2 linked regions of the Notamacropus eugenii genome follow. The protein of the gene in region 1 interacts with the protein of each later gene in a pairwise test. Links are inferred from orthologs where the notes say so. Each region holds a gene or a part of one and is shown in the gene's direction. Other genes may lie near its edges. The genes, in order: CIAO1 and CIAO2B.

Evidence for each region.
Region 2: the proteins of CIAO1 (region 1) and CIAO2B interact in binary tests that used the Homo sapiens proteins (3 or more experiments, as listed by UniProt). The two-hybrid records come from large-scale screens. The link is inferred for Notamacropus eugenii from reciprocal best matches to the Homo sapiens genes CIAO1 and CIAO2B.

What each region holds. Positions count from the first base shown.
Region 1 is NC_092872.1:606,923,000-606,938,166, forward strand, and holds CIAO1 (probable cytosolic iron-sulfur protein assembly protein CIAO1), read left to right. Parts: upstream 1-8,959; 5' UTR 8,960-9,229; coding exon 9,230-9,368; intron 9,369-9,804; coding exon 9,805-9,953; intron 9,954-10,286; coding exon 10,287-10,398; intron 10,399-10,509; coding exon 10,510-10,598; intron 10,599-11,086; coding exon 11,087-11,288; intron 11,289-11,419; coding exon 11,420-11,507; intron 11,508-12,154; coding exon 12,155-12,395; 3' UTR 12,396-12,644; downstream 12,645-15,167. Other genes in the region: TMEM127 (transmembrane protein 127), read right to left, coding at 8,073-8,316; SNRNP200 (U5 small nuclear ribonucleoprotein 200 kDa helicase), read right to left, coding at 14,125-14,268, 14,391-14,483. UniProt on the Homo sapiens protein: Key component of the cytosolic iron-sulfur protein assembly (CIA) complex, a multiprotein complex that mediates the incorporation of iron-sulfur cluster into extramitochondrial Fe/S proteins.
Region 2 is NC_092872.1:693,999,131-694,014,413, reverse strand, and holds CIAO2B (cytosolic iron-sulfur assembly component 2B), read left to right. Parts: upstream 1-8,791; 5' UTR 8,792-9,095; coding exon 9,096-9,243; intron 9,244-9,518; coding exon 9,519-9,598; intron 9,599-12,838; coding exon 12,839-12,964; intron 12,965-13,229; coding exon 13,230-13,275; intron 13,276-14,901; coding exon 14,902-14,999; 3' UTR 15,000-15,272; downstream 15,273-15,283.

The sequences.
Region 1 (15,167 bases):
ATGACAGTTGACAATTGATTGGATTGGGCAGGGGGCATACATAGTCAGGGGCTGAGGAAAACACTTGTGTTTTAAGTCTCAGTAACTGGAAAGACAGTGGTTCCCTTGACAGCAATAGGGAAGCTCAGGAGAAGGGAAATAGTTTGATGGGAAAGCTCCTGAGTTCTGTTTTGAACATGCTGCATTTAAGATTCCTATGGGACATCTATTTTGAAATAACTAACAGGCAATTGATGATGCAGGACTGGAGCTCAGGAAAGAGTCTAGGGCTGGATAAATAGACCTGCAGAGAAAACATCACTGAGCCCATGAGAGCTGATGAAGTCATCAAATGAGAGGCTAGGGAGGAAAGAGAAGAGGACCCAGAACACACCTTGGAAGAAACACAAGGTTACTGGGTGTAACATCAATGAAGATCTGGCAAAAGAGAATGAGAAGGGACAGTGAGACTTGTTGGAGAAGAACAAAGAGACACCAGAGTCCCAAACATCCAGAGAAGAGAGAGGATTCAGAAGATGCTGCTGAAGAAGAGTCAAATGATGCAGAACTCAAGAAGAATAAAGACTGAATAGAGGCGATTAGATTTGACAACTAAGAAATCACTGATAACTTTGAAAAGAGCAGTTTCAGTTGAACAATGAGGCTGGAAGCCAAACTTGCAAAGCATTTCAAAGAGAATGACAAGAGAGGAAGTGGAGACACCGATTACATAGGTTTTCTCAAGTTCATCCACAAAGGGGAAGAAATATAGAATTATGGTTGGCAGGCATGATAGCATCAAGTGAGAATTTTTCAAGGATGGGAGAGCCTTGGGCAGGTTTCTAGGTGGCAGGGAAGAAGTCAGTAGATAGAGAGAGAATGATGATTAGGGGATAATGGTGGGAGCTGGAGAATACAGTAAGGGATGGAATCAAAGGTGCAGGTAGATGGACTGGCTCATCAAAGATTGGAGTGAAAGAGGAGATAGTGGGGAACCATGTCAGAGGGATAAGAGGGAAGGGAGAAGAGGGTGGCCTCAGTGAAATGTCCTGATTCTTTTGGTTAAAGTATGAGGTGAGGACCTCAGCAGAGAAGGGAGTCAAGAGGCAGTGGTGTGAGAAGTTTGAGAAGAAAAAATTGTGGTGAGTAGAACAGGGAAACATCTAAGGAAGAGGAAAAGACTGGCTTCCTGTAACTTGAGGTCCCAGTTGAGATCAGCTAGCATAAATTTATAACGGACCCAAATGAATAGATACAGAAGAGACAGACAATGGGATTAAGTGATCCAAGGTTCAGGTCTGGCAGGGAGCGACTGGCAAAAGGACTAGGGAGCTAGAGATGCAAGAGCAGAGGATAAAGTTAAACTGGTTCACTAAGGGGTCCAGACTGGGAAAGGAGGACCATGTAGCCAGAGTAGGAGAAGTGAGCTGGGATGGAGTGCAACTGGATGTCATGGTAGGAGGGCTAAAGTATAGAGAGAGCTGGAAAAATAAAAGAGGATCAGATTAAGGAGATATAGTTACTTGACATGGAAGGAGAAGAACTGTGGATAATCAATGTCAAGGGGATGATGCTATGTATAGCTCAGGTCAAGTGGAATAGGAGCTGAGTGGTCTGAAAAACTGGGAAGTGAGGGTATCTGAGGAAACATTAACAAGGATGCTGAAGTCCTCTAGAACGGGGGAAAGAGTTGAGGCAGACAGGAAGACAGTGAGTCTGGAACTGAATTAACGTAGAAGGGAGGGAAAATGTCCTTGGGACTAGTAGGTAACAGCCACTTGAATCTGGACTGAATGATAAATCTGGATTGAATGACCTTCAAAAGAAGAAAAGTTCTGCTTTTTAAAAGCTTTGTGACTTTGGACAAATCACTTAACCTCTCTCAGGTACACTTTCCTCAGAATCCCTATCCCACTATTAGTGATACAACAAACAAAATCAATTTAGTTACATTTTGAAAGAGAATAGTTAATTGGAAAAAAAAATTCTTTGCAACAAGTTTCTCTGATAAAGAGAAATCAAAGATCCATAAGGAACTAATTCAAATATATCAGAATGACAGCTGTTCCTCAAAAGATACATGATCAAAGCATATGAACAATCAGTTCTTTAAAGAAAAAATCCAAGCTATCAACATCCATATAAAAAAAATGCTGCAACTCCCTAATAATTAAAGAAATACAAATTATAACAACTTTGAGGTTCCAGCTCATACCTATCAGACTGGCATTGAAGATGGCAAAGGAAAATAACAATTGTTAGAGGGTCTTTGGGGAAACAGATATGCTAATGCACTGTTCATGTACCAGAGTGCTCCAACCATTCTGAAAAGTTATTTAGAACTATGCCCCCAAATGCACATTTGTACTATGTATACCCTTTGGCCCAGCTACAACTCTATAGCCCAAAGAGATCAAAAAGGAAAAAGACTCAAATGTATGAAAATATTTATGGCAGCTCTTTTTGTTGCAGCAAAGAACTGAAAACAAAGTAGGTGCCTAGCAACTGGAGAATAGTTTACCAAAATATGGTGTATGAATCTAATACGATATTATAGTTTTGGAGAATGCTGGGAAGATTTGTATGAATTGATACAAAATTATTTATACAATAACAACGTAATAAAGAAAAACAACTTCGACCAACCATGATTCCAAAGATAGGCAAAGAAGTCATTACCCACTTCCTGACAGAGGGGTGACAGATTTAAGGGTGTAGAAGTAGACATATTTTTTGAAAGAGCAAATTATATATTTATTTTACTTGTCTATGTTTATTTTATACAAGGATTGTGTTTTCTTTTTTTTTTTTTATGGTTGGGATATAATGTAGGAGAGGAGAAAAGGAACTATTTCTAAGAGTGCCAAAAAAAAAAATTATGGGTCATTATTCTTAAAATGCACAGAAAAGAAATGAAGGAAGTTCAGAAGGAAACAGATAATCAGCATGGCTTTGAAAATAATATGACTTCATTATATACTTAAAATTTTTTTACAACTCAATTCTATCTTTAATTCCAAATTTTCTTTTTCATCCTCCCCCACTCAATAAGAAGACAGTGCATTAGTATACCTGTTTTCCCACAACCCCTCCAGAATTTGTCATTTTTCTTTGTCCTCTTAGCCAGTCAAGCAAAGCCAATATATAGATAGGCGGTGAAGTGGATAAAGCACCTGACCTGGAGTCTGGAAGTCCTAACTTCAAATCCAGTCTCTAACACTTACTAGCTGTGTGACCTTGGGCAAGTCACTTAACCATCTTTGCCTCATGTTTCCTCATCTGTAAAATGAGCTGGAGAAGGAAATGCCAAACCACTCCAGTATCTTTTTGCCAAAAAAATACAAAGTGGGGTCACAAATAGTCAGATAGGACTGAACAACAACAAACAGCCAACCTGATGGGTGTAAGGTTTTAATTTTTATTTCTCTAATTGTTAGTGATTTAGAGCATTTTTTCATATGGCTACTGATTGCTTTACTTCTTCCTCTGAAAACTGCTTATTCATATCCTTTGACCATTTTACTATATACTTTTAAAGAACAAGCTGTACATAATAGATATTTGCATTTTTACACATAACTCTCCTTTTCTTTCTATTTAGTATATGGAAATATTCTTTTTTTGGCATAGGTTAAATTCAGAAAAAAAATGTAAAGGGTGGTTGTTTGGAACTGAAATGAGTTCATGAATATGAAAATATTATAAAAACTTGAAATGACTATATAAATATAAGATGGTATGTTATTATAAAATCTGGTCCTCTCAGGAAAGGACAAAATTAGAACAAATGATTACTTTGGGGCAGGGGGAAGAAAGGAGAAGAGAGATAAAAATTTAATTTTTAAAAAATAAAAAGAAAGCAGTGGGGATTGAAAGAAGCTTCTTTATTTTAATTTAAACCAATTGTTCTATTCTATTCTACTCTGACATGAAGACAAGTCCCTAGTGGATGTCATCAGATTTTGTTCTTGAGTTCTTTAAGCTGGTGGGCATAACGAGACTGCCACCTCTGGCCACACAAAAAGGTCTGTTGTCATCTGTAACAGGATCCTGGGGAATTGACTTTGCCCAAGGTCACTGGTGAGTCACCAATCTGGTCTTGTTTTGAAAGCTCTGGCTCTTCCTGTCTGCCTGTTCATCACTCCAGTCACTGCCTTACTCAGACAGACTGCAGGCGAAATGCCTAACTTTGCTTCAGAGTAGCTCCCTTTTCTTCTTCCCTCTGTCTTACTGGCGCCCCTGTCAACTTCAGGTTACTGCCTGACAGATGGGAAAAACCTCTGATGGACTCAGTTCCTCTTAGCACTAAGAAGACCCACCTGTTTAGTCTTTTTTTCTCCACCTTGATTTGACTGAATCCAAGACAGGGAGCTGACACTTGATCCTAATAGTCTTCTGAGGGAGTCTGTCACCATAGTAACCAAAAAGTCAAAAGGAAATATATAAATCTGGTCTTGAATGAACTAAAGGCACCTGGAAGGATCTAGCTACACATATGCCAACTAAACCTCAGATGTACTGTCAAATCCCTGGAAGATACTTGAAATTCCAATGGCTGATCATCAACAATGATTCATCAAGCAACAAATCTCAACCTTCCGCATTCCTAAAAGATGTTACTCCTGAAGCTGTATCCAATACACCACCCAGCAAACAGACCTGGGAATTAAAGAAAGCTTTTCCATTTGAGAGTCATCATCACTTTAGTCTTTCTTTGAAGGATACCCTAACCTCTTTGGAGCACAGGAAAGCTGAAGATATCCTTTGAGCTGGTCCTAACCCTGATTTCTCTATACAAGGCAGGCCTTCGATTAGGGGATTTGAAGCAATTTAGGATGACCCGAATGAGATCAAACTAGCCTGTATTTGCCAGTCTCCAAAGCTTCCTGAATCATTGCTTAAAGCTAAATATTTCTCCCTGTAAAACACTAAGCCTCAACATCAAAGTAGCCAAGAAGATAAGGACGACAGCCTTGACTGGCTTTGGAAGATACTAAACTTGAAAAAGAAAAACCCTGGATAGCTCTAATTTAATGAAGAAGAATTCCCTTCTGATTCAGTCCAAGGCTAACTGTCCATCTTTCCCCAATCATCTACAAAGATTTCCCAGGGTTTCTTCCTCCTTCAGGAACTAATTAAATGAAAACAGATTTTCAACCGGAGGCTTTAATAACCTTCCCTTTTGTTGGTATGTTCAGGGATAGGAGAAATCCTGGATTTCTATGACGCACTAGGACAATCTTTCAGAGTCCCCCAAAGAGCTGGAACCAAGACTAGGCTATATGTTCATTAATCTGGTTCTCTTATGGGCTACAAAACTCCTATGGGCTTCAGCATAAAAAGGAAAAGGAAAGTAAGTATAAAGTAAGTAAGATACACTACCAGATACTCGTCCCTTCTGGCTCTCTCCTACTGCTTTATTTTTTCTAATGTCTGTGAGTGGATAACTGGATATCATTCCCAATGTCAAATTTATTCACCAACAGGCCTTGTATGATTCTAGCATGAAGAAGATAAAAGAGGTGGTCCTATTTACCAAGTTATTATGTAAAGAAACTATAATAAAGGAAAAGTTCACTGCACTGGTCTTTAATATTCCTATTCAATATGATCCAATTTTTAAACATATTCAATACTTAATTTGTCTTTAATGTTTCAATAGACTTGTAACGTTAATGCTGCAGGAGGCAATACATCCACACACCTTTTATCCTGTGTTACTGGCATTCATGACCTCACAGACATCTTCCATAGAAGATCTACCCAAAGTATGAGAGGCCTCTCTCTTAACATTCTGCAGGGATCAGTGAAGCCTTGGGGCTCTCCATTTATGATTTCTCATTATCAGGACATGAGTGAATCACCTCCTTTTTATGAAATCATACTGTATTATATACTTTTTTTGGAAGAGACAAACACATAAACAAGGGAAATCCTATATACCTAATTTATATAGTGGATCTTCAAAATGCCTGTGACAAGGATCCACAACCAAACTGAATTAACGGAATTGCTGGCAATGGGAAAGCTTTGTTTTTGACAAGGGGCAATCTTAATAGGGAAATGAAAAATGGATTAAGAAATGTAAAAAAGAGGGTATAGGGTACCATACTAGAATAAATACTGGAGTCAAAAGACCTAGGGACTCTATTCTTGTTCTAATTAGGAGTGTGACGTTAGGCAAGTTACAATTACTTTTGGTCCAAGTTTCTTCAGCTGTAGAATGAGAAGTCAGGATTAAAGTATTCACTTCACTTTTATCCAATAACACTTCCAATGTTAAAATTTTATTCCACAATTCTCCCATGAATGATGGTATACAGGGCACAGAAAGTAAAATTTCCTGATAGCCAGATGCTAAGCTCTCCCAATTGATGAAATACAAAACAATAAACTATAGGAAAACATCACAAAGTTAGAAAAATGGCATATGACTTTTAATGTGGAACAATTATACAAACCATACTTACAAACATACTTACATTACATACTTAGTTTGTGATCTGAGCTATCAGATATGTACCAGGAAAGAGATCTAAGTGCTGTCCCAAAACCGTTCCCTGAACAGATCAACCCAATGGGCCAATGTAGTACTGTGTATCACCAGGGAGAAAAACTGAATTTGTTACACAGTATACGTAGAAAATCATAGTACGTCTACATCTCGACAGCTGCGTGAAGCCTGGGCTTCCTAAATAAACATATCATCAAGTTGGGGAAGGATCTAAAGACAACTAAAGCAATCAAGAGAATTGAAAGGTGGTGAAAAAGATGAGATTTTTCAGCTTGATAAGAAGGGAAGGGCAGGGCAACATACAAAGATATGCAACGGTCAGCAGAGAAACTTGTTTATATATTTCTCAAAATAGGAGAAACAATCCCTTGAGTTTGAAAGAGTCAGATTCCTTAAGTGTTATGGGATAAATATAAATATGAGAAAGTTTAAGACTGGCCTAAAAATACATTGACATCATGTCTATAACGTGTTAAAAGCTGGGGATATTGAGGATCATAGATAACTTTTTAGATTAAAGTCAAAGGAAGGATGTCTATGCTTCCAAACCAAACATTCCTTAATGCCACTGTCAGAGACAATGACGGTCAAAACAGAATGCTAGCATAATCCGATATAACATCTGTTATAGTCTTATAGTGTACAAGGACACTTTTGTAAGGGTTATGAGGAAAACTGGCTGTCCTGAAAACTGTAGACTGCTACTGTCAATGAGTCACTAAAACAGATCTGGCTTCTAAAAGTATTTGAGTGAAAAGCAGAATGCCCAAATTCCATTCACGACTCCACCACAGGAACACACAAATCACAGGCATATGCACCACAGACACAAACACCCTCTTGTGGGCCTTGGTTTTCTTCTATGAACAAAGAAAGGAGGATAATCTGTTTTCTTCTATCTCACAAGAAAGGTAAAGAGGTAAAAGGAATCAATCAACTGAGCTTGTTAGGTACAATGTAACATTTCCAATAACCGCAACATTTGACCGAATTTACATAGAAAAGAGGAAAATGACATTTCATTCAGAGAGGCCAATAAGTGAAGTACAAGATACCTTAAGCACTACTGAAAGTCCTACCTCACTATCAGATAACCATCAGGAATCCTTCCTGTACCCTGGTAATTTCCTAATTGGCTCCCTTTTACTTATTCTCTTTCTTTTAGGAAGAATCCCAATCAACCAGAATCTTGGAGCTGAAGAGTCCTCAGAGGTCACCTCGTCTAAGCCCCATCTACAGAAGCCTGGACAAGTGGTCGGTCACCCGACCACTCTGTGGAGCCCTCCAGGGATGAAGAAGCCACTAAAGCGGCCCGATTCGCTTTCTGACAGTAATAATGACAATTCTGAAATGGTAAGGGTTTCCTTGGATGCTGTCAAAATCCGCATGTTCCAGCTATGGAGTATGCCATAGAGGTTGTCTAAATAGAATGAAAATTAATGAACTGGGTCGCCTCAGACAGAGCCACCTGGTGGGCACCAGCACGGGAAGGACGGCTGCCCCCACAGGCTCCGGCTCCGGCTCGGCTCCGTCCATCCCCCGGCCCCTCCCCCACCCAGGACGTCGGGAGCATCCTTACCTTTGAGCAGGTCTGGGTCCACATAGCCCAGCACGTCGGCCACTCCCAGCTCCTGCCGGGAGCAGGTGCCCCCATGGATGTGCAGCCAGGCCGGCTCGGCCAGCGCCGTGCACAGGGCAGTGATGGACAAGGCCCCCGGCAGCGCGGAGGCCAGGCTCCGCTCGGGCTGCTTGGGCAGGGCGCTGCCCCCTGGGCCTCTCCGCCGGCGCCCACCGGGCAGCCCTGCGCCTCCCGGGGCGTACATGCCGGGGAGCCCGCCGGGCTGGGCCCGATCCTTGGGGACTGATCGCTCGCTGCTCGCCCGCTGCCGAGCCTCAGCTGACCGAAAGCCTGGGTGAGGAGAGAAAAGGAGGGTGCTGTGGGGGGCGGCCCGGCTCGCACCCTGGCACAGCGGGGGGGCGGAGTCCCGGCGCTCGGCGGAGAGGGGGGCCCGAGCCCGTCACTCCAGCTGGGGGAGGGGGGTACAACCGGCAATCCCAGGACAGCCCCCATCCCCCGGCCCATCCATCCATCTACCCATCCTTCCGCTCACCTCTTACCGGGGGTCGCGACACGCAGCTCCGGGCCCGTCACCTCCGCTCCCCGCCCCGGGTCCGCCCGCCAGGTTCCCCGGCCGAGCGATCCCGGAGCCCTAAACCGCAACGCCCGGACTCGGCCAGAGCCCGGTCCACTTCCGGCTTCCTCCCTCCGCACCCCGCTCCCCGCCCCCACCCCTCCTTTCCCCGGCCCACTCGTCATGACGCCGCGTGCGTGTTTCGTAAGCCTCCTCCCCTTTCCTCCCCTCCCCCCACCCCGTCTCTGCTGCTCCGGTATTGCATCCAGGGACTATTCGGGCTCCGCCGGATCCTGTTCTGGGAAGAGTCCGCTTAGCTGCGAACGGAGTGCCAGCCGGCCGCGGCTCGTGAGGCAGCAGAAGAGCCGATCGTGCTTCCGAGGCCCCAGGCGACAACTACAACTCCCAGAAGGCAGTACGGCAGCCGGACCCTGCGGGCACTACAGTTCCCAGGAGACTTTGGGGCCCAAGAGCGGAAGTGGCGGGACCCTGGGGGTCGCCGCGGGAGTCTGCAGGCGAGTTACTGCTAGAGTTCCGACCGGACCTTGACTCGGCCTCCTACGGGGCGGGGGGCGTCGGAGTGCAGCCGAGCCGGAGCTCCGCCATGAAGGACTCCCTGGTTCTCCTGGCCCGCGTGCCAGCCCACCCAGACTCCCGCTGCTGGTTCCTGGCCTGGAATCCTGCCGGGACCCTGCTGGCCTCGTGCGGCGGTGACCGCAGCATTCGCATCTGGGGCAAGGAGGGTAAGGCTCTGTCTCCCCGCCCCCCTCCCTTCGGGGCCCTCGGCCTCCCCTGCCCCCCGCCCCCAAATCGGGCGTAGTGATAGCACGCACCAGCGCTTCAGTTCCCGAAGCTCTGGGCGCTCCCTAGTCGAGTGAGGGAAGATTACGGGGTGATCCTCGTCTCCGAGAGGTTCTGATAACACGCCCTTGATTCCTACTGTCAGCAGAATTCGAACCCAGGTCTTCCCGGCTCCGAGCTTTTGCACGTCACGCTACCTGCCTCCCCCCACCATCCTGGAATTGTTCCCCAGATTCCTCCCCTCCCCCATCCCGCCAGTCACGTCCCTCCACCGCCCCCCAAAAGAAAAGTGTGAGGTCCCCGCGGTGCTCTGAGGTGAGCCCCTCCTCCGCACGCCCCGCTCCTGGCTGAGGCTGTCCCCGCATCCTTTCTCCCCAGGGGACAGCTGGGTGTGTAAGTCTGTTCTGGCCGAGGGTCACCAGCGCACCGTGAGGAAGGTGGCCTGGTCCCCCTGTGGGAGCTACCTGGCGTCGGCAAGCTTTGATGCCACCACCTGTATCTGGAAGAGGAACCAGGACGAGTTCGAGGTAACTAGGCTGGAGAGCAGGCTGGAGAGCAGGCGTGAGTACCACGGACAGGTTCTTCCAGCTTCCTGGCAGAGCCCGCCTGTGCTGGGCATTCTTCATTCATTTCAATTGAGCGTTTAATATAGTATTCATTATTACTTATTCCCTGAGTGCTAGGCACTTTGTAGGAGGGGAGGCTGGGGCTGTAACACAGCATGCAAATACAGATAAATGCAAAATGTATACAAATAATTATCTAAGATGGAGGAAGGGAAAAGGCAGTGATTGGGAGGATCAAGAAAGGCCTTCCTGGACCCTCTCCTTTCATTGACTTTCACCCACTATACTTTCCAGTGTGTAACCACCCTTGAAGGACATGAAAATGAAGTAAAGTCAGTTGCTTGGGCCCCATCTGGTAGCCTTTTGGCTACCTGCAGCCGGGACAAGAGTGTCTGGGTCTGGGAAGGTGAGTAGCATGGCTTGGGGGAGAGTTAAGAAAGGGGGTGGATTGCCTCCTTGTTAAATGTTGCCTTGATGGGTTTGGCTGTTGGGCTTACAGTGTCCTTACCTCCTACAGTTGATGAAGAGGATGAATATGAATGTGTCAGTGTTTTGAATTCACATACACAGGATGTTAAACATGTGATATGGCACCCTAACCAAGAGGTAAGAGTCTGGGGTAGGGGCATCTCTTGGCACAAAAAGTATCTGAATATGGGACTGCTGAGATGCTCTCATGTTAAACAGTCTTAATTCTATCCCTCCTGAACTTGGACTCTGTTGTGTTGCAAACTGAAACCTTGAAGCTACTCTTAGAAATGGCCTTAATAAAGCCCCTCCAAGCTGTAAAAGTCTGTGGGAAATAGTGGGAAGAGATAGTGGTCATTCCATAACTCCTTAACATAGGCTGCTTAGATGGTACAGTGGATAAATTTGGAGTCAGAAGACTTGAGTTCAAAGCTGTCTCAGACCTTTACTAGCTTTGTGATCTGCCTTAATTTTCTCATCTGTAAAACAGGAGTGACGATACCTGTCAAGATCAAGAGAGATGTGTAAATGTGACACCTGTGATGTTTGCAAATCTGAAAGCACTATACAGATGCTATTCTAACATCCCTAGCAATGTTGATATGTCCTGTGTATGCTCCTTCTAGCTGTTGGCATCAGCCAGCTATGATGACACGATAAAGCTATACCGGGAGGAAGAGGATGACTGGGTATGCTATGCTACCCTGGAGGGCCATGAGTCCACAGTATGGAGCTTGTCCTTTGACCCCAGTGGCCAGCGCCTGGCATCTTGCAGTGATGACCGCACTGTGCGCATTTGGCGCCAGTACCTACCAGGCAATGAGCAGGGTGAGTTGCCAGAAACTTAAGGCAGAGAATGGTTTCTCTTAAGACTTGGATTAGAGTCCTCTGGAGAACATCTGCTACAAGAAGTAACTTGGATGTTTTTCAAACTAATTGGAGACTTTTTTTTTTAACAGGAGTGGTCTGCAATGGCTCTGACCCTACCTGGAAGTGTATCTGTACCTTATCTGGCTTCCATTCTAGAACCATCTATGATGTCTCTTGGTAAGTCACTCATTCATAAAGCTGGTACATGCATATGCTGCACTGCCTTCTGCTCATTGGGATTGAGCCAGATTGTTGATTTTGCCAGATGTGGCCAGTACTGGCCTGATATAACAAGTGCACAGTAGTCTCTAGTCTGGGAGTATTTAGAAAGAAGGTGTGTAGGCCTGGAGATCACCTTGATTTGGGCTATGATGATATGAATACTATTTCTCAGTCATTATAACTATCAAAAAATGAGTGCCTCTGTGTCTGGAGTATATGGTGTTATTTCCCTTATGATATATTAAGAAAGACTGGAAAGTAGTTTCAGCACAAATTCTGGTTGAGTTCTAGACCTCTGTATTGAAAATAGCTTAGGGGACCTTTCCTTCAATCTCTGCCAAGCTAAAACTACCTCTAAAATTGCATATAATAATGTTCATAGAGGTTTAGAAAAGTTAGGATTATATGGGTTGATTTCTATTCTGCTCAAGGAAGACCGTGAGTAAAACTTGTGGCTGAATTCTAAGGGAGACTGGAATTGAGAGTCCAGGTTGGGAAAACTAGTACCTCCCCCAACATCACGATTCCACTTCCCCAACATCACGATTCCACTTCTGCTTAGAATTGACCTATGCATTGAAAAGCAACATCTTTCTTCCTAGGTGTCACCTAACAGGGGCCCTGGCCACAGCCTGTGGTGATGATGCCATCCGGGTATTTGAAGAAGACCCCAGCTCAGACCCTCAGCAGCCATCATTTTCCCTAACAGCTCACCTACCCCAGGCCCACTCCCAGGATGTGAACTGCGTAGCTTGGAACCCCAAGGAGCCAGGGCTACTGGCCTCTTGCAGTGATGATGGTGAGATGGCCTTCTGGAAATACCAGCAACCAGAAGGTCTCTAAGGCCCTTTTCGCCACCCACATCCTCTGAAACTTTTAGCAGAGGGATAATATTGACTTTTCCCAGAGGGGAAAAAAATGAGAATCAGTTTTCCCAGTCTACATAAAAAGCCTGAAGAAGCACAGTGCCCACTTCACTCTCTTCATGTTTGAACTTAATCCCCTGCGCTAGAATCACTAATTTTTCCATCCTGCAACTTGGGGCCTGCCCCCTAGTTCAATCGTGTAAAATAAAATGTTTTAAAAATCTTATCCTCAGCTTTTGTTTGCATTCAGGTGGGTATGGAGTATTAATTACTTAAATATCTATACTATGTATATGTCCAATTTCATTTTGGGAAATTCCCACCAAAGTGAATAAATTGACTATTTAAAAGAGAGTGACAGTACTGGATGCTAGAAATACCTTTCAGTACACCTTTAATCACTTCTCTTCAGCTCTGTATCTCAGTTTCCCAAGCCATTTTTGCCAGCCTTATGACCACTGTAAGTATTCATGACCCATAGAAAAATTTCCAGCGACTACAGGGAAGCTGGGAGTGGACCAGCTCAGTAGAGCTGGTTCTGCTCAGATTTAGGAATAAGAGTGGCTCATATTCTTATTAGCACCTTCTTGTCCATTTATCTATATAACAAGTTATATAAAGGATAAATTTAGGAAATAATCTCAGAAGGTACTAACATCGGGGACCAGGAAAGGCTTCTTGCAGAAGGCAAGCAGGGCCAGAACTCAAGTGTGCCTTGCACTCCACAACCTGTTTTGAATGGAACCCAGGAATAACTCACTACCAAAAATGTTCAAGTCTCCTTCAGATCAAATTTAGCATGTTTTCCAGCTCCACATGCTTTCGAAGAAGTTGCGGAAGATAGCAATTCAAGGAAATCCACAGATTTAGCACATCCAACTTTGGCTTCTCAAACCTGCCTGGATCATCTACTTAAAATAATACTGTGCATATGAGCTGAAAAGAAGTGAAGAAAGCTGTGTGTAAAGCTCTATGTAATAATATAATATGACTGTACTATATGGCTCACTGGGCAATTTATGCTGCCCCCTGGTGCTTGGAAACTGCAGGACTTCATAATGCTGACCAGCCTGTAGGATGGCTGTTCCAAGGAAGCTAGGGTACTAGTGGCCAACATGTTACCCTGATTTGAATTAGCCACCCCTGTCATCCCCTAAACCACAAACCCAGTTTCTGACCTGACCTCATTTCAGTTAATGAGGAAGGTAATAAGTGAGAACTTGAACCCTGACCAAAAATTCTGGAGTGGTTACCTGAGAATAGCAATTGGCCTCATAATGCATTTACTTGTACTGAGGAGTTACATCTGGCCAATGGAGCAGGATGGAATACCTACCTTAGGCAAGGGGCTGTCCATGAACCTTTACTACTAAACAGAACCCTTTCAAAAAGTAAAGATAGTCAAGTCAGGGAGTCTTCAAATAATTTTACTAGAATATTCAAAACTCAAAAAAAGACCTACAAAGAACCACATTAAAAAAAACTGTACAAGTTCCATTCTTCAGCATAGCCAACAAAAACCAGTAGACATTTCATATTACTAAGGGGATTTAGGGCTAAACAAAATATAAAGGATGAAAATCATGACAGCTAAGCCAACACTAGCATGATTCCCTCACATATCAGATCTTTGAAAATCCAGGGATTGAGACAACTACACATTTTAAATCCTAGTTTTCTGTGAGACTAAATGAATTCCCTGGGACTCAGTCAGAATCACTATCACTTTCTGCTTCCTTCACATCCACACTGAATTTGTATTCCTGGTCACATCCCATGTAGGCATCACTCATAAAGTAGAGAGTGTAATTATGGGCACCAGTGGCTGGAGCCACAAAATCAAGCTTCACCTAGAGAAGGAAAGAAAGAATGAAGATGAGCAGTTCTAGGATTTAGAGAACCTGCCCTTTCTCTCCACCTCCCTCCAGTACTGCTCCTTCCCCACCAGGTAATGCCTGAACAATTCACTCACCTTGGCTTTCTGCTGTAGTGTCAATCTTTTGATGGAGATGAGGCTATTGGATTTGGAGTCTCCAATCACCACCCACCAGCCCTCCTCACGTTTCTATAAAAGTGAACAAAATAAGGACCTTAATAAACAAAGATAATTCAGTATTCACCACTGTAATGGAAAGAAACATGGAGTTTGAATCCCATCTCTTTATATCTACTAACCATAACTAGATGAGGCACTTCATGTCTTTTAAATCTCAGTTTTTCTACGAAAGAGATAATACTTGTACCACTCACCTCACAAGTTTGTTAAAAGGAAGACTTACATAGCTCTTTAAAGTGACATATAAATGAGGGCAACTGAGTGTGTCAGAGAAAAGGCAGGAAGTTGCCTAAGCTATCCCCAGTTTCCCTCAATACAACTTTAAATCAAACCTCAAAATGAATTCTGGAGCCTCCTGGGGTTCAGCAGGCCAGCTGTGAGGCCTCTAGGACCAGCAGGTGAGCTGCTAGCCCAATCCCCTCCCCTCCACCACACAGTGAGCTACTATGGTGACAGTGAAGATCAAAACACAAACTCGTAAGAGGGCAACAATGTCAACAGACCTATATGCAACACCTCATAAGAGAAATATGAATTGGTCTCAGGCCCAAAAAGTCCTCTTAGAAATGCTCAAAAAAAGATTTTTAAAAAATCAAGTAAGAGTTAGCAGAAAAATTGGTTCAAGTAATGAGAGTTATGCAAGAGAATCATGCAGCTTGATTAAGTAAACAAAAAAAATGAAAAAAAAATGGA
Region 2 (15,283 bases), about 87 Mb from region 1:
CTTGGAAGACAGTAATACAGGGGAAGATTTAGAAGATGGTATATAGAATAGAGAGAGTTTCATTCTTTCTCTCCTTTCCACCCTCCCTGATAGCAGCAGCCTCAGAGGGGTGGGTGGATGAGAGAGAAATATATTAGGAAATAAATATTAAGTAAGAAAAATATATTCAGTGAAGATTATTTGAGATATGACTGGTAAAAGCAAATAGAAGAAAGTAAGAGAAGAGTCAGATCAAAATATGAAAGAAACAAGAGAAGTGGTTTTAAAAAGACTTTAATCAAAGTCCACTAGAGGGATATGTATATAAAAGGACGGGAGAGAAACTTTAAACATATAGGAATGAGAGGAGCATGGCAGAAAGAACATCGTTATCTGTTTGCATAGACAGTATGAACAGATTTGAGAACAAATGGTTCAGAAATTTTGGAAAGAAAAGTTGTTGGTCTGTTTGTGCTTCTTGTATCTGTGCTAATGTCTTTCTATATCTGGTTAGATAATTTTAAGCTTTTAGAAAGATTTTCTCTTCCTTTCTGTCACGCGCGCGCACGCACGCACACACACACTCACACACCTGAATAACTGGTTTATTGTTTTACAGCAAGAGAAGAAGGTAATTTCACTGATTATCAAGAGGCAGATTTGGGGGTTGCGTCAGTGAAAGTTTCAGGGCTTGCACTCTGGAATTGCACTGGCACTTAACCCTTTCCTGGTTTACGAAAAAGGGAAAAGTTTTTGTGTACCAGGACACAATCAAAAGGTAATTGAATTTATTCTGGTCACATTTTAATGAGACACATTTGAGATGTCTCTCTTAATTTGATGCTTAAGACAGGTCAGAATTTATTATATTATTTGGTATTAAGACAAATTGGGAAAATGTTAACCGGGTAACCTTAAACAAGTTACCTCAGTTCACTTCACATGAGCGTAAAGTGCTTAACACAATGCCTGGCAAAGGGCAGACACTACAAATGTTAACTGTCATTATTATTTCCTTAACTGGATGTAATTGCTTCATACTTAATAACTTTGTATGGGATTTTAGATGTGACTTAGATTAGATTAGATGCTAGTGGTGATGAGATGCCTGATTTTCTGCATAAGGTAATTTGGAAATGCATTCAACAGGATTGGCATCATCTGATCAGTAATGGGTTGGTTTCAAGTTTCAAATACATAATTTGTACAAATTGGTAAATTTTTGCACCACATATGTTTTTATAACTTGAATATTATTAGAGTATGAACTGAAAGAAACTAAAACAAGGTAGAAAAATTGTGTAAAATCAGTTATGTTATTTTATTAGACCTACTAACCCTGTTTTATGTTTTATAAATGCAATTTAGGGAACTGGATATTTTCACCTTTACCTGCATTTAAGAGGTTACATCTACAGCAATTTGGCCATCATTTATGAAAGTGTAAAAGTGTTAACTAAGTTATTCAGGTTATTATAATATTAAAACTTAAAATTGGTAATTGATTACTGTGTGTGGAAAGGAGGGATATGAGGGTGTGCAGCAAGATTATGTATAATATACAAATGATTTCTAATGATTGGTCTTTACAGTAGGACAAATTCGAACTTGAGAAGAAAATAAAAACAAGTGAAAAATATTAAGTAAAATTTCATATATGTTTGAGTCCTGGTAAAAATTTATTGCTTATTGTAACTCCATGAGAGGAAAAATAACTATCTAACCCTAGCTGTGATTGGTGAAACCTGCCATTTGAAGCAAAAGTTCTTGGGACTGTAACTGATTTTGTTTTAAGGTCTGAGTTCAGGTATTGTCTGATGGATCAAGTCAATAATCCACCACTTGAGAGAAATGCTAGAAGCTACTCAGGAAACGTGACCCTGATCTGTCATGGGTAGAGGTTTATATTTGGGAGAAAGCCGAGAGGACAACCTTTGGCTTAGGCTAAGGTAGGATCCTTCTGTCTCGGTATCCCCATTGTGTTCCTTTTGAACAGGAATATTTTAAACCTAGTTATTCCTAAATCTGGCTAAGCAGTGGAATTGTTGCTGCAAGATTGGTTGTCAACTGTGACTCTTGCCTGAAGTCAAACAGAGCTAAGGATGCTTTATCCTGCCATATAGATGTTGAATCATTAAAGACCAGTTTGGTGTGTTATAATGCTGTCGCTGCTTTTTCCTTTTATAGCAAATTCCCTTACTCTGAGCAAGTGATCAATAGAAGACATGGGCATAATGCCCATGTATGTGATCATGACCTTACTGTTTTCAATCTGAATGCGTAGCCATTTTACATCCTCAGCAACTTAGTAAATGAGTCTATGGCCTAATCATCTGCCTATTACTATACATACAGGCACACACACATATATGTGTGTATGTATGTATATGTATATACATATGCATGTGTCTGCATGAAATAAGGTCCTTAAAATGTTTCAAAACTGTGTAAGGATAACTAGGCATTGATACAGCTGTTTGTGGGACCTAGCTATTCTATTAATTATTAAAACTAAATTAGAAATATCTTCAGTTTGATTTGGGGAAAATAATCTTAGTGTAGTCAGTTTCTTAGAGGGATGTAACTCATGGAATATTTTGTGTTATATTAATGAAAAAGTCAATTTCATTCAAGTTTATTAGTAATGTGGAAATAATACCTGTTTGTACTGCATGTCCTGTAGTACAAACATATTTTATTATAAACAACTTATTTGATATGTACTGTTTTGGAATTAATTATTTAAGTATCCTCCCATGTCTTTTATTATAATTTATATATATAATTTTTTATATTTATAAATAATTTTATTATACTATTTTATTATAATTATTATAATTAAAGTCAGCCTCGTATAAGTAAATAAGTAAATTCATTTGTGTAACCATTGAACTTAGGTGTGGAAAGCGTCTATCTGCAAGTGTCGTTACTTATGTTTTCATGCATAGGACTGATTCTTCAATAACATCTGATCCTCCTAAAGTAATTGGAATGAGAGGAAAATTGTGAGAAACTAACAAGATCAGACAATCCTGTATGTAAATATAAATTTCTAATTCTAATGAGATATGCAAAGATTTAGATTTTCTGAAGTTTCAAATCAACGATGGGTTCCTAGTTTGATGTTCCCCTTATAGCTCTATTGTTAATAAGAACAGAAGTCCAAGGTTTGTGCTGGTTTTCACAACATGAATTAGTTACTGGAAAATGAAATTTCAGAGGCTGTGCCAACTTATATTGAGATTTGTTACATAAGAGATTTTAGCAGGAACATCTAAGGAGTCTGGGGAGGCTGTCAGACAAAACAGTCTCAATAATGGAGAATGCAATCTGCAAAGACCCCAGGAAAGCCCAGTGATAATTATAGGAAACAGACAAGGGAGGAGTATATAGGCTATGTCATTACAGATTACGGGTTTTAGCTTAGTAATGAGTTTATTTTTGAGCTTGGGCATTAAGCTAGTGCTAGTGGGTAAACGCCTAAACACAGAGTTGGGACTGGTCATGTACCGGTCATCATGTCTATGTTTAAGTTATAACTTTCATATCCCACTGTGTTTTTTGCCTTTTCCCCAAAAGGAACCCCACAATCCACCCCTGAAAGCCTCCCATGCATTCTTTCTGAATATCTTTCAGAAGGTCCCTGGCATGGTTCTACATTGGGGCTTTTGGGGTCATTTGGGATATAGCCAGAAGGGACATAAACTGCAAATGCAACACAAGCACAGGTAAGAAAACAACATGACCAATAAGAAAATTCCCACAATTGTTACAATTTGTGGGTAGTAAAGGAAGAAGCAATGGTATTTGATAAGCCCAGTTTCTGAACTTAAATTAGTACAAGTCAGCTGAATTTCTGAACTAGGTTCAGGGATAAACGTGGCTTGTGCAATTTTACAACAGAGAATGGAATCGATTACAAAATGGGATTAGAATAATTTGATTTTCTCGACCCTCAATGAAAGACTTGTCATGACTTTTTCTGACAAGTTAATGTAAGGACAACAAGCTTAACCAATCACAGCACGGGCCCCTAATGTAAGTAACCCAGTTGATTAAACTATTATCTATAATTAATCTGCAGCTCCCATATTAGAAATTAGAAAACTAATTCCTTTGTTTGGACAAGCCGAGAATATCCCAATGCATAGGGACATCAGACCTTACAGCAGGGAAGTGACATGGGCACTTTGCTTCTTCTGTTTGGCCCCAGAGGGAAGAATCAGAAGTCAGAGGTAGAAGTTGCAAACAAAACAAATTTAGGCTTAAAGTAGGAAAAACTTCCTAATAATTAGAGCCCCCTCAAAAGTCAAAGAGAGAGTTCCTCCTCCTTAGGGGTCTTTAAGCAGGCTTCATTCACTCCACTTGTTGAGTACGTTATAATGGGGATTCCTTCCATGCATAGGTTGAAGTTAATGGTCATGAAGGTCCCTTCAAATTTTCTGAGTCCTTTTGTTTCCCTGATCCTCCTTTGGCATGTGAATACCTTTCCCTGATAGAATTCAAGTGAACAACATTATTAGACAAGCAACAAAGAGACACGCTTTTGTAGACTTTCAACAGCTAAGCCCTACAGACCTGGTCAGTTTTAGGGGAGTCCAGGCTCTAGGGAGAGTTTTGAGGAGGAGATTCATAAAGGAAGTTGTCTCCCTCACCACCCTCATCAGCCATGGACTCTAGTAGTAAACTAAGAGACTTCATCCAGAAGACTGAGAGTTCTCCAGGTTCACCTGGACAATGCTTAGTTTAAAAAAGCAGAAACACACACGGATACAGATACTACTTGGAGGAAACAAAGAATGGGACCTTTGGCTGCTGAGAAGTAAATAAATAAGTACTTTGTGCCAGGCACTGTTCCAAGCATTTTACAAATATGATCTCATTTAATCCTCACATTAGCCCTGGGAGATAGGTGCTTTTATTCCCATTTTATAATTGAGAAAACCAAGGCAGACTGAAGTTAAGTGACTTGCTCAGAGTCACACAGCTGGTAAATGTCTGAGTCCAGATATGGACTCAACTCTTCCTGACTCCAGATTGAGCATTGCATTCACTGAGCCACCTAGGTGCTTATGAAGAAAAGACCCTGGGAACCCAATGGAGCACTCCATGAAGAAAGGACTTTCAGTTCTATAGTACCAGGAATTGTGAGTAGCCTCTGCCATATGTGTACCAACGTTCCTCATTGCTCTCACTGCCATTATATTCTAAGTATGAATTCATTCTTCCTATCAATGCTGGGTCTATGTCAAGCATGCCTTTGTTAACAGATGGAATGTTTCAAAGCTACTGTCTTTACAATGTCACCTTACTATGCCCTTGCATAGTAATTGTATATACTGACTGTTAATGGAAAACACATTGGTATAGGCTTAGAAGCTACACTATTAGGAGTGCAGACCCAAAGGATTACTCTCAGAACTCAAAGTAGTAGCAACCCTCTGGCAACCCAACCCACAAGTCAAGAGTACAAAAGAGGAAGTCATCCAGAAGGGGAGCTACTTGTTATATCATGGCAGGAGAAAGGACAACAAAATAAAGAATAAACATGTAAAGAAAAAAATACAAGGTAATTAATGAGTAAGGGTCCTAACAATTGGGGTGGGAGGGGAGGGACAAGACCAGGAAAGTGTGTAGAAGGTGAGGGATTCTGTTAGGTGAGATAGAACTACATTCCAGGCATGAAGGATACAAAGGCAAGGGGAAGGTCAATGTGTAGAGAGAAAAGAAAAGGCTAGTTTGGCTGGATGGAAGAGGAGGGAAAGGCAGGTAATATATAATGAGGCTGGAACAATAGGCTGGCACCAGATCTGAAGGATGATAAAAAAAAAACAAGATACTGGCTCATGGGTCAAATGAGCAAATATGTGTAAAATGCTTTGAAAATTTTTAGTTACTAAATAAATGTGAGATGGAATGCCAAGTTCAGATAACAAGCCGAGATCATCTTGGCCAGAACACAGTGTTCATGGAAGTGAGGATGTAATGTGAAGTAAATGGGAAGGTAGGCTGCTGTACCACTACAAAGGAAATAATTTTAGTAACCGAGTGGAGGGTGAAGTGGAGACAGGAGATAATGAGAATTCAGATGAGAGACGATACGTGGTGAGCAGCGACGATGACTTCAAGTCTGCAGGTGATGGTGTGGGTAGACATGCTGTGGAGGGGGAACAAACAAGAATGAATTCCAATGACCTGAATCACTGAGAAAGACATCTATTAATTCTCCCAGCTTTTCTGTATAAAGTATTATCAAGCCAGTTCTCTATCCTGTACCTGCACAATGAATTTTAACTTTTTTTTTAGAACTTTTTAATGAGATACTCTACCCTGAACAACAGAACCTATTAATCATATGCTTCAAACTATGCTCTTTAAATAGGCAAGGGAACAAACATTTATTAAGCACCTACTATGTACCAGGCTATGGGCTAAGCCCTTTACAAATGTTACTGTATTTGAGCCTCACAACAACCCTGAGAATTGTTGTTCAGTCGTTTTTCACTTGCATCTGACTCCTTGTGACGCCATTTGGGATTTTCTTGGCAAAAATACTGGGGTGGTTTGCCATTTCCTTCTCCAGTTCATTCAACACATGAGGACACTGAGGCAAATAGGATGAAGTGACTTCCTAGGGTCATACAACTAGTGTCTGAGATCAGATGTGAACTTTGGAAGATGAGCTTTTCTAACTCCAGACCCAGAGCTCCATGCACTGAGTCACTTAGCTGCCCTGGGAGGTGGGAGCTTTTATTATCCCCATTTTGCAGCTGAGGTAACTGAGGCAGACAGAAACTCAGTAATTTACCCACGGTCACATACCTCATAAGTGTCTGCAGCTAGATTTTGTTTCAGGTCTCCCTGACTCCAGGCCCAGGGCTCTATCCATTGCACCATCTTGATGCTGGATTTTTCCCTGAATATAGTTGAAGTTTTATACAGCTGCACATCATGTTATAGACTGATCTAGAACTCTCATCTTTGCATGGTACTGATGAGGTGCTTGAGTGCCTGTGCTTGGACCCTAATTCCAAGATCACATTTCTTCCTAGCCTTAAAACACTATCCCTGGAAGTTTCTTCCCACCCCAAGGACACTATGCCTAGCAATCACTCACAAGTGGCCCCAGCAAAACACTTCTCTCTCTCCCTGGCATAGTTAACAAACCATACCTGTAGGAATTATTAGTTTGAACTGGCTTTGTACTGGCTCATAAAGATATTCAGTACCCACTGGACTATCTATACCAACTCCCTACCTCATTATATGTTTCCTGCACTCCTTGTTAAGCGTATCCTAGATTTAAGACATATGTTAGCAAGCACCACTGGAGCTGAGCTTTGAAAGGAGCTAGGGATGCTAAGAGGGGAAGGGGAGGAGTATGATCTTCCGAGCCACTGGAGACCATCTGTGCAGGACAGGGGACAGAAGACGGAATGCTGCCCACAAGAAACAGCAAGGCCAACTTGGCCTGAATGTATGGGGCATGAAAGGTAGAAAGGTGTGATGATCCTGTTAGGGTGAGCAGAAGCGAGATTGTAAGTGGATCTACATGTCAAACTGTGGATTTTTTGTAGGTTTGTGGTTTTGTAGTTTTTAAATTCTAGAGTAAATAAAGAGCCAATGGAACTTTTTGAAGAATGACATCTGTCCTTCAGGGATATCATTTTCCCAGCTGTGTGGAGCACTGGACTGGATAATGAGTCCCAATGTGTATATGTGGTGCCCTAGCACCTCCAGGTGGAGGTGTCCAGCAGGTCAGGTAGGCCTGGAGTTAAGGAGAAAGGGTCAAGCTTTTAGTAGGTTTGGAGTCCTGGGGGGAAGAGGGGGCAGAGAGAGCAGAAGAGACAGACAGATGAGATCACAGAGAGAGAAGAAGGAGCAGGACACTCACAATGAGCCAGCCAGACACGGCGTGATCCAAGGCTCCCTGCGGGTGCAAACGCCTCTTTGAAACCTTCTGACTCCTTTTAAAGGAAGATTTGCTAATGGTGTGTCTTCCTTCTGGTCCTCTGGCTTCCATGACCATCTCTACACAGAGGGCTCCCAGGTCCTGTCCTCAAGCCTGAAATCCTTCTCTTCGTTTCCAGATCTGCAGGACCCCTCGGCCTGGGTGTGCCAGAGGCATCTCAGGCTCTGGGTTCTTGTGGCCAAGGTCTATCCCAACCTGCTGCAGGCAACTAGATGGCTCACCGGACCAAGCTGGGCCTGGAGTCTCCAAGACCTGTGTTCAAATCTAGCCTCTGACACCAGCTGCAGTACCCTGGGCAAGGCGCTTTAGCCTTTGCCTCAGTTTCCCCCTCCGTACAACGAGGATATCAGCGCTTGTAAAAATCAAGTGAGACAATAATCACGAAGCGCCTGGCACGTAGTAACAGGCATATAAATGTGAGGTATGTTATTATTATTATTATTATTATTATTTCCTTCAAGTAGGGCGCCAGTTCCTGGAAAACAAAGGCAGTTTCATTTGTCTTTGTGTGTGGAAGGCTTGCATGCAGAAGGCGCTCAATAATTCCTGAATTGAGCTGCTGAACCGGTTTGGAAAGAGTCCGGGTTAAATTTCCAGTGTAGACCCGTCCACCTCGCCTCAGAATCTGCAAATGCTACAAATCAGGGCTGGGTGCTCGGTCATGCGGGTCATCTAGGCTTAAGAAAGGTTACTAAAGCCGAAGGAACATAAAGGCACGCCGTCCTACGTCCCCGCCCCTGCCCCACCCCCGCCGAGAGCCGGTGGTTAAACATTAACCGGCACGCTCCAGGCTGACGCCACGCCTCCAGGTCCCCCAGTCCAAGCCACCCATTTTACACCGGGAAGGCTGCGGCCCAAGGATGTGTCGTGACTTGGCCCAGGGAACGCACGGGTCCAGCGGCCTCCCCGCGGCCGCCTCCGACCCCCTGATTCTCACAGCCCTTCCCCGTCCTTTCCCCTTAGGCGGCTTAGGGAGCGGCGGAGCGGCGCTAGAACGCAAGGGGAACGTTTTTGTCCTCTCCGCACCACCGTAGCCGCCCCTCCCGGAAACGCCCTCTGCCTGCTCGCGGCCAAAGCCGCACACCGGAAGTGAGCCTCGCCGGCAGGGGCGCCCCCTGAACGGCCCGCCTAGGGTCCGGATAACATGGTGGGCGCAGGCGGCGGCGCGGGCCTAGGCGGCCTCTTGGAGAACGCCAACCCGCTGATCTACCAAAGGTCGGGGGAGCGGCCTGTCACCGCGGGCGAGGAGGACGAGCAGGTCCCCGACAGCATCGACGACCGGGAAATCTTCGATATCCTCTGGCGAGTGGGAAATCGCGCGCCTGCGGAGCTTAGCGGGCCGAGAACCCCAGGGGCGGGGGCGGGAACGAGGCTTCGGGACTACGCGAGAGTGGGGGCGTGAGCGTGATCGCCCTCGGGAGTTGGGCAGGGCCCGGGTGGGGTGGGGGCGGGGCGTAAGCGCGATCCTCCTGGGGGAAGTGGGCGGGGCCTTGGAACCGGGGAGAGCGCTCTGGAGCGCCCCCTGCTGGCCGTGATGCAGTAGTGTTTTCCTTCACTCGCTGCGCACACCTGATCCGGTCCATCAATGACCCCGAGCACCCGCTCACCTTGGAGGAGTTGAATGTGGTGGAGCAAGTGCGGGTGAAAGTGAGGAAGGGGTGGGGAGGGAGAAGGAGGGGTTGTCCTACCGTCACCTTGGGGATTTCTGCCCCTTCCCCGGGTAGAGATGCCCCCATTCTCAGGGATGCGTTCTCAGCAGCTTTTTATGAAGTGCCAGGCACTGTGCAGAGGGCAGGGGATGTAAAGGAAAGGGAGCTGGCATCCTTTTGTACGAGTTTGTGCTTTAAGTTTAGGAAGTTTGCAGGGTTTAACAGAAGTGATTCACCCAAGGTCTCCCCGCTGGGAAGTGATGGGGTCCGAACTGGAACTCCTGCCTTTCCAGAACTCATGCTCTTTATCCCGGATGACCTCTAAAGCCCCCATAGACCCAAGTGCTACAGGAAGCCTTCTCCAAGCCCTCTTCACTCCAGTACCTAACCTATTCATTATTTCCTATTTTTCCTGACCTAGATTGCTACGTGTATATTTGTTTCTCCCATTAAATTGGAACCTCCTGGAGGGTAGGGACAGTCTTTTCCATCTTTTTGTATTCCCCAGCACTTATCAGTGCCTGGCACATAGCAGGCCATTAATAAATATTAATTGAATGGAATTGTTAAGGACTCAAATCCCCCATGACTTTCTCTCCTTGGATGGAGCTGCAGCTTCTAAGATAGCTGTTTTCTTTTGTACACAGGTAGAATTCTTTCCTTCAATATAGAAGAAACACTACATACAGAACTGTTTTTAATGTTATGAACGTAATACCAAAATGAAAAGGCATATTTCCATATTCATAGTAGAACAGAAAAAGAGGATTATACATGAAGCTGCAGATTCCCTATTATGGAGAACTTGCCTTTTTTTTAAAATAAGTACTTAAGTTTAACCTATAGCTTTCAAAACTGTCCTGCATGCCTATGCTGTTTCCTGGGCTTCTTTCCGGTCTCTTTTCTGTGCTTTAAAAAAAGATGCCTTGATGACTGTCTTAGAAAGGCAGCTAGGTGGCCCAGAGGTTAGAGTGCCAGTCTTAGAGTCAGGAAGACCTGAGTTCCAGTCACTCAGCTGTGTGACCTTGAGCAAGTAACTTAACCTCTGTCTGCCTCAGTTTCCTCTTCTATAATGATGATAATAGTACCTATCTCCCTGGATTGTTGGAAGGATTAAATGAGGTAATATTTGTAAGCTTTGCAAACCTTACAGCACCATGTAAATGTTAGTTTTGGGGGGGGGTGGGGCGCAGGGTTTGGCAGCCCTATGTCTTTCCCTGCTTGCCTTCCATCTCCCCTCTTAGGAAAAACAACATAGCTTTTATAACAAATATGAATAATCAAGCAAAGCAGATTCCCACATTGACTCTGTCCAAAATTATGTGTCTCATTCTGCATCTCACATCCATCACTTGTCAAGAAGTGGCTAGCAGACTTCATTAGTCTTCTGGAATCATGAGCATAGGTCATTTCATTGATCAGAATGCTTTCAAAGTTGGTTTTCTTTATATTGTTCTATTTTCTGGCTCTACTCTCTTCACTGTGCATCAGTTCATATAGTTTTTCCAGGTATCTCTGAAGCTATTCATTTCACCAATTTCTACAGCACAATAATATCCCATTACATTCACATGCCATAATCTGTTTAGCCATTCTGCAATAGTTTCCAGTTCTTTGCTACTACAAAAAGTTGTAGCAATATTAGCCACTATAAATAATTTTGTACATATGGATCTTTTTCTCTGATCCTGATTATAGGCAAGCAATAATATAGCTGGGCCAAGTCAACAAGCATTTATTAAGCTCCTGCTATGAGCTAGGCACTGTGCTAAACACTGGCTCAAATTGCATGTACAATTTATTGATGTTTTGATCATAGCTCCAAATTTCTTTCCAGATGGCCAGCCTAATTCATACTGTATCAGTATTCCTAGTCTTGGGGCAGCTAGGTAGATGAGCACTGGCCCTGGAGTCAGGAGGATCAGAGTTCAAATCCAGCTTCAGACACTTACTAGCTATATGACCCTGGGCAAGTCACTTAACCCTGATTACCTCTAAAAAGGAAAAATATACATACATATGTATATGACATATACATATGTGTGTATACTTATATTATCCTGGAGCTTTCCCCCCCAAACAGTTGTCATTTTCCTATTTTGTCTACAGCCTGATAGGTATGAGGTAAAACTTCGGAGTTGCATTTCTTTACTCTTTATTTAGAGCACCTTTTCATATGTTGATAGATTGGATTTCTTCCTTCCTGTTCATATCCTTTGACCACTTATCAAATGGGGAATGGCTCTTCTTTTAAATTTAAATCGATTCCTTACATATCTTAGATATCAGATTTTTATCACAGAAATTCAGATTTTTTTTCCAGTAACATAATTTCCTTTTAATTTTAACTGAATTATTTTTATTTCTACACATATTTTTTAATTTTATATAATCACAATTGTCCATTTTCTTTTCTGTGATCCTTTTTGATCATGAACTCTTTCCCTACCTATATATCCAAAATATAATTCCTTCTTTATTCCTCTAATTTGTTTATGATATTACTTGTTATATTTAAGTCATATATCCCTTTGGAGTTTATCCTGGTATATGATGTGAGATGTTTTCTATACCTGGTTTTTACCAAACTGCTTTCCAGTTTTCCTGGGAGACCTTACCCTAGTACTTCGGGTCTTTAGATTTATCAGACACTTTGCTACAGGGTTCATTTGCTCTCTGTGTTAGATGCCAAATCTGTTACACTCATCACCTCTCTGTTGTTTTTTTTTAACTTGTTGGTACCAAATCATTTTGATGGTTACTTCATTATGGAATATAGTTTGAGACCTGGTATGACAGGCCTCTTTTGATTCTTGATACACAGAGAATTCAGGGAGGGAAGCAAGGTGGGTCTGCCATAGTTTTCCTGAGCAGTTCTGTGGCAGTTTGACCATCAAGGAGGCACTATAAGAGCACGTAAGAGCCCAGGGAATCAGCATAGCTTTGAAAGTTACAAGTTGAATTTATTATAAACTTCAAAGTAAAGCATGCTGTACATAATAGAGTGTCACAATTTCATGCATGAGCTCCCCTTTTCTGTTCCACTTCATATATGAAAATGTTCTTTTTATTTGGCATTAAGTTCAGAATTTTTTAGAAACAACTTAGAGGCAGTGTGGGCCTTTGTGTTTAGGCATCAGTGTTGACCTAGGTGTTTTCCTCCCTATGGCAAGTTGACCTTGACATTGGGAGAAGAGCCCAGATAAACAGTAGCTAGCAGTCTCTCCTTCCTCTGCAGGTTAATGACAGAGAGAGTACAGTGGCTGTGGAATTCACTCCCACAATACCTCACTGCAGCATGGCAACGTTAATCGGCCTGTCCATCAAAGTCAAGCTGATCCGCTCCCTGCCTGAAAGGTTCAAGGTCAGTGAAGGACATGAGTGCTCCCTACTTACATACTAGCTCTGTACCTGATTTGTTAATTAACCCTTTGAATACTTTTAAGAGGAATTCAAGTGAGGTGTCTGTCACATTGCTGTTTCTTATAAAAGGCCATTGAGGAATGAAGAGCCATAAATCTCCTTCTAAGTCACTTTGCCTCATGCCCTGAGAGGCCTGGGAGATGGGCACTTATCAAGGATCAGACTTCTTCAAGGCCTTTTAGTGGTTCTTTCATTCTTCCTTCCAGATGGATGTTCACATTACCCCTGGGACGCATGCCTCAGAACATGCTGGTGAGTATAGTCCCCAGTCCTACACTTCTCCCCCTGGCAATGCCCTCTCAGTTCCAATGAAAACACTCACGAAAGGATGGAATTGGGTTGGTTTTTTTCCCTGGATTCCATCTACTCAGTATGAAATCTTTCTCCTTTTCTGGGGTCTGAATTAGGGCAAGTGACCTTCCCTCAACCCTTTTTCCCAGGATCATGATGAGTCAGGAGGAAAGATATGAATTGAAATCTGGCTATGGGCACCATCTCCTTGCCAGCCAACCTCAATTTCCCCCTTTCCTTCATCAAACATCCCATGACATCTCACTCCCTACTTTCTCTCTGCCTGTCAGTATTTCCACTGGGGGGCAGGGAGCCTTGTCCATGGATGGAGGTCTGGCCCAAGGATTGTGTCCCTCCTGGGGACAAAGTGCAGCAGGGTGTCAGGGCAGACAGCTGGCCACTGGTTTTCTGAACCAGCTAAATGAAGGGGAAAGGACGAAAGTGGGTCTGGCCAGAGGGGTACAGGGAGGCGGGTGTGGGGACCTGGGGCTTCTTGCAGTGACCACTTGCCAAGTACTTTCTGCTTACCTGGGTTCTGGGAGGGGGCACAGGAGACCCTTGAAGCATTTCTAACCTAATTATTGAGGAAGAATATAAACAGTTTAGAGCAGTGCTACAGTAGTGAGTATGAGCATTGCGTGAGATAGCACTTATTTATCATCATCCTCATCATTACTATTGCTGTTATTAAATTACTAATTATAAGTGCTTAGGAAATTACAAGTCAGGGGAATCAGTACAGATTAGGGTTAATCCAGAAGGTTTCACAGGAGATAAGTCCTGAGGATACAGATTAGTGAAAAAGGGAAGATGATTACTGCCAGGGAGAACAGAAGACCAGCGGGATAGAAGGCCCCCATGGGTCTACAGCATAGTTGAGGGGACTGGCCTTAATAAGGAAGGCCAGTCTGGACCAGGGCGTGCTGACCCATCCAGAATCAGCCTTGCAGGACAATGGAAGCCACAGGGAGTTTTAGACAAGAGGGTTTAAATGACATTCAGGAAGAGTTAGTTTGGTGCCTGATGAACAGGAGGCCAAAGACTGAAGAAGAGTGAAGTACCCCAAGTGTAGAAACGCAGTGGCTGAACAGGGGTGGCCATCTGACTACAGATCGCAGGGAATCCGAATGATCTTCAGAAGGAAGAAACAACAGACTTGGTAACTGACTGGATAGAGAGAGAATTAGGGCTGACACCCCCCACCCTTCCCGATAGCACAGCAGAAGGGGCGTTGAGCCTAGTCAGGAACTTAGGGTTCTAAGTCTGGCTTTCCAGAACTATGGCTTGAGACAAGTCAGTTTCCTTCCCTTGGACCCTTGGAGTCAGTTTCTTATGAAGTGAAGTGTGAGACTGAAGAGATCTTGAGTGTGTCCATTCCAGCACTCAGATTCTTTGTCCTGGTCCTTTACTTCACCTCCATGAGGTGCTTTCCAGTTCTGGCAATCTCTGCTCTGAGCCCTCAGACTGTGGAACCCCCTCCCTGAGGCAGGAGGTGCTGAGGAGCTTGGGGAGTAGGGGGGCTGCCTAGACCCTGGGGGCACTACTCCCATAACCCACCCCGCCTGTCTCTGCTTGTTTCTCCTCCAGTGAACAAACAACTTGCCGACAAGGAGCGAGTTGCAGCAGCTCTGGAGAATTCCCATTTACTCGAAGTTGTGAACCAGTGTCTGTCCGCTCGTTCCTAGCTCACTTAGGAGAGGCCACCTCCTGAGGGTCCTGCTGCTCTCACCTGTCCCTCTTTGTCCTTCCTGCCTTTCCACCTCCCCCCTCCCCCATTTGCCCTCATGTCCCGTTGTGTTTCTGAGGAAAACTACGTGGGAGATGCTGTGCCCACTGTGGCTGCTTGGCGAATGGCTATCTGAGTGGGCACAAGGGAATACAAGTGAATGAGCTGTGCCACTGAAGAGGACTTTGGAAATAGTTTAATAAACCTTTAACTTATATGTCACTGGTACAAAGTTTCCAAGTT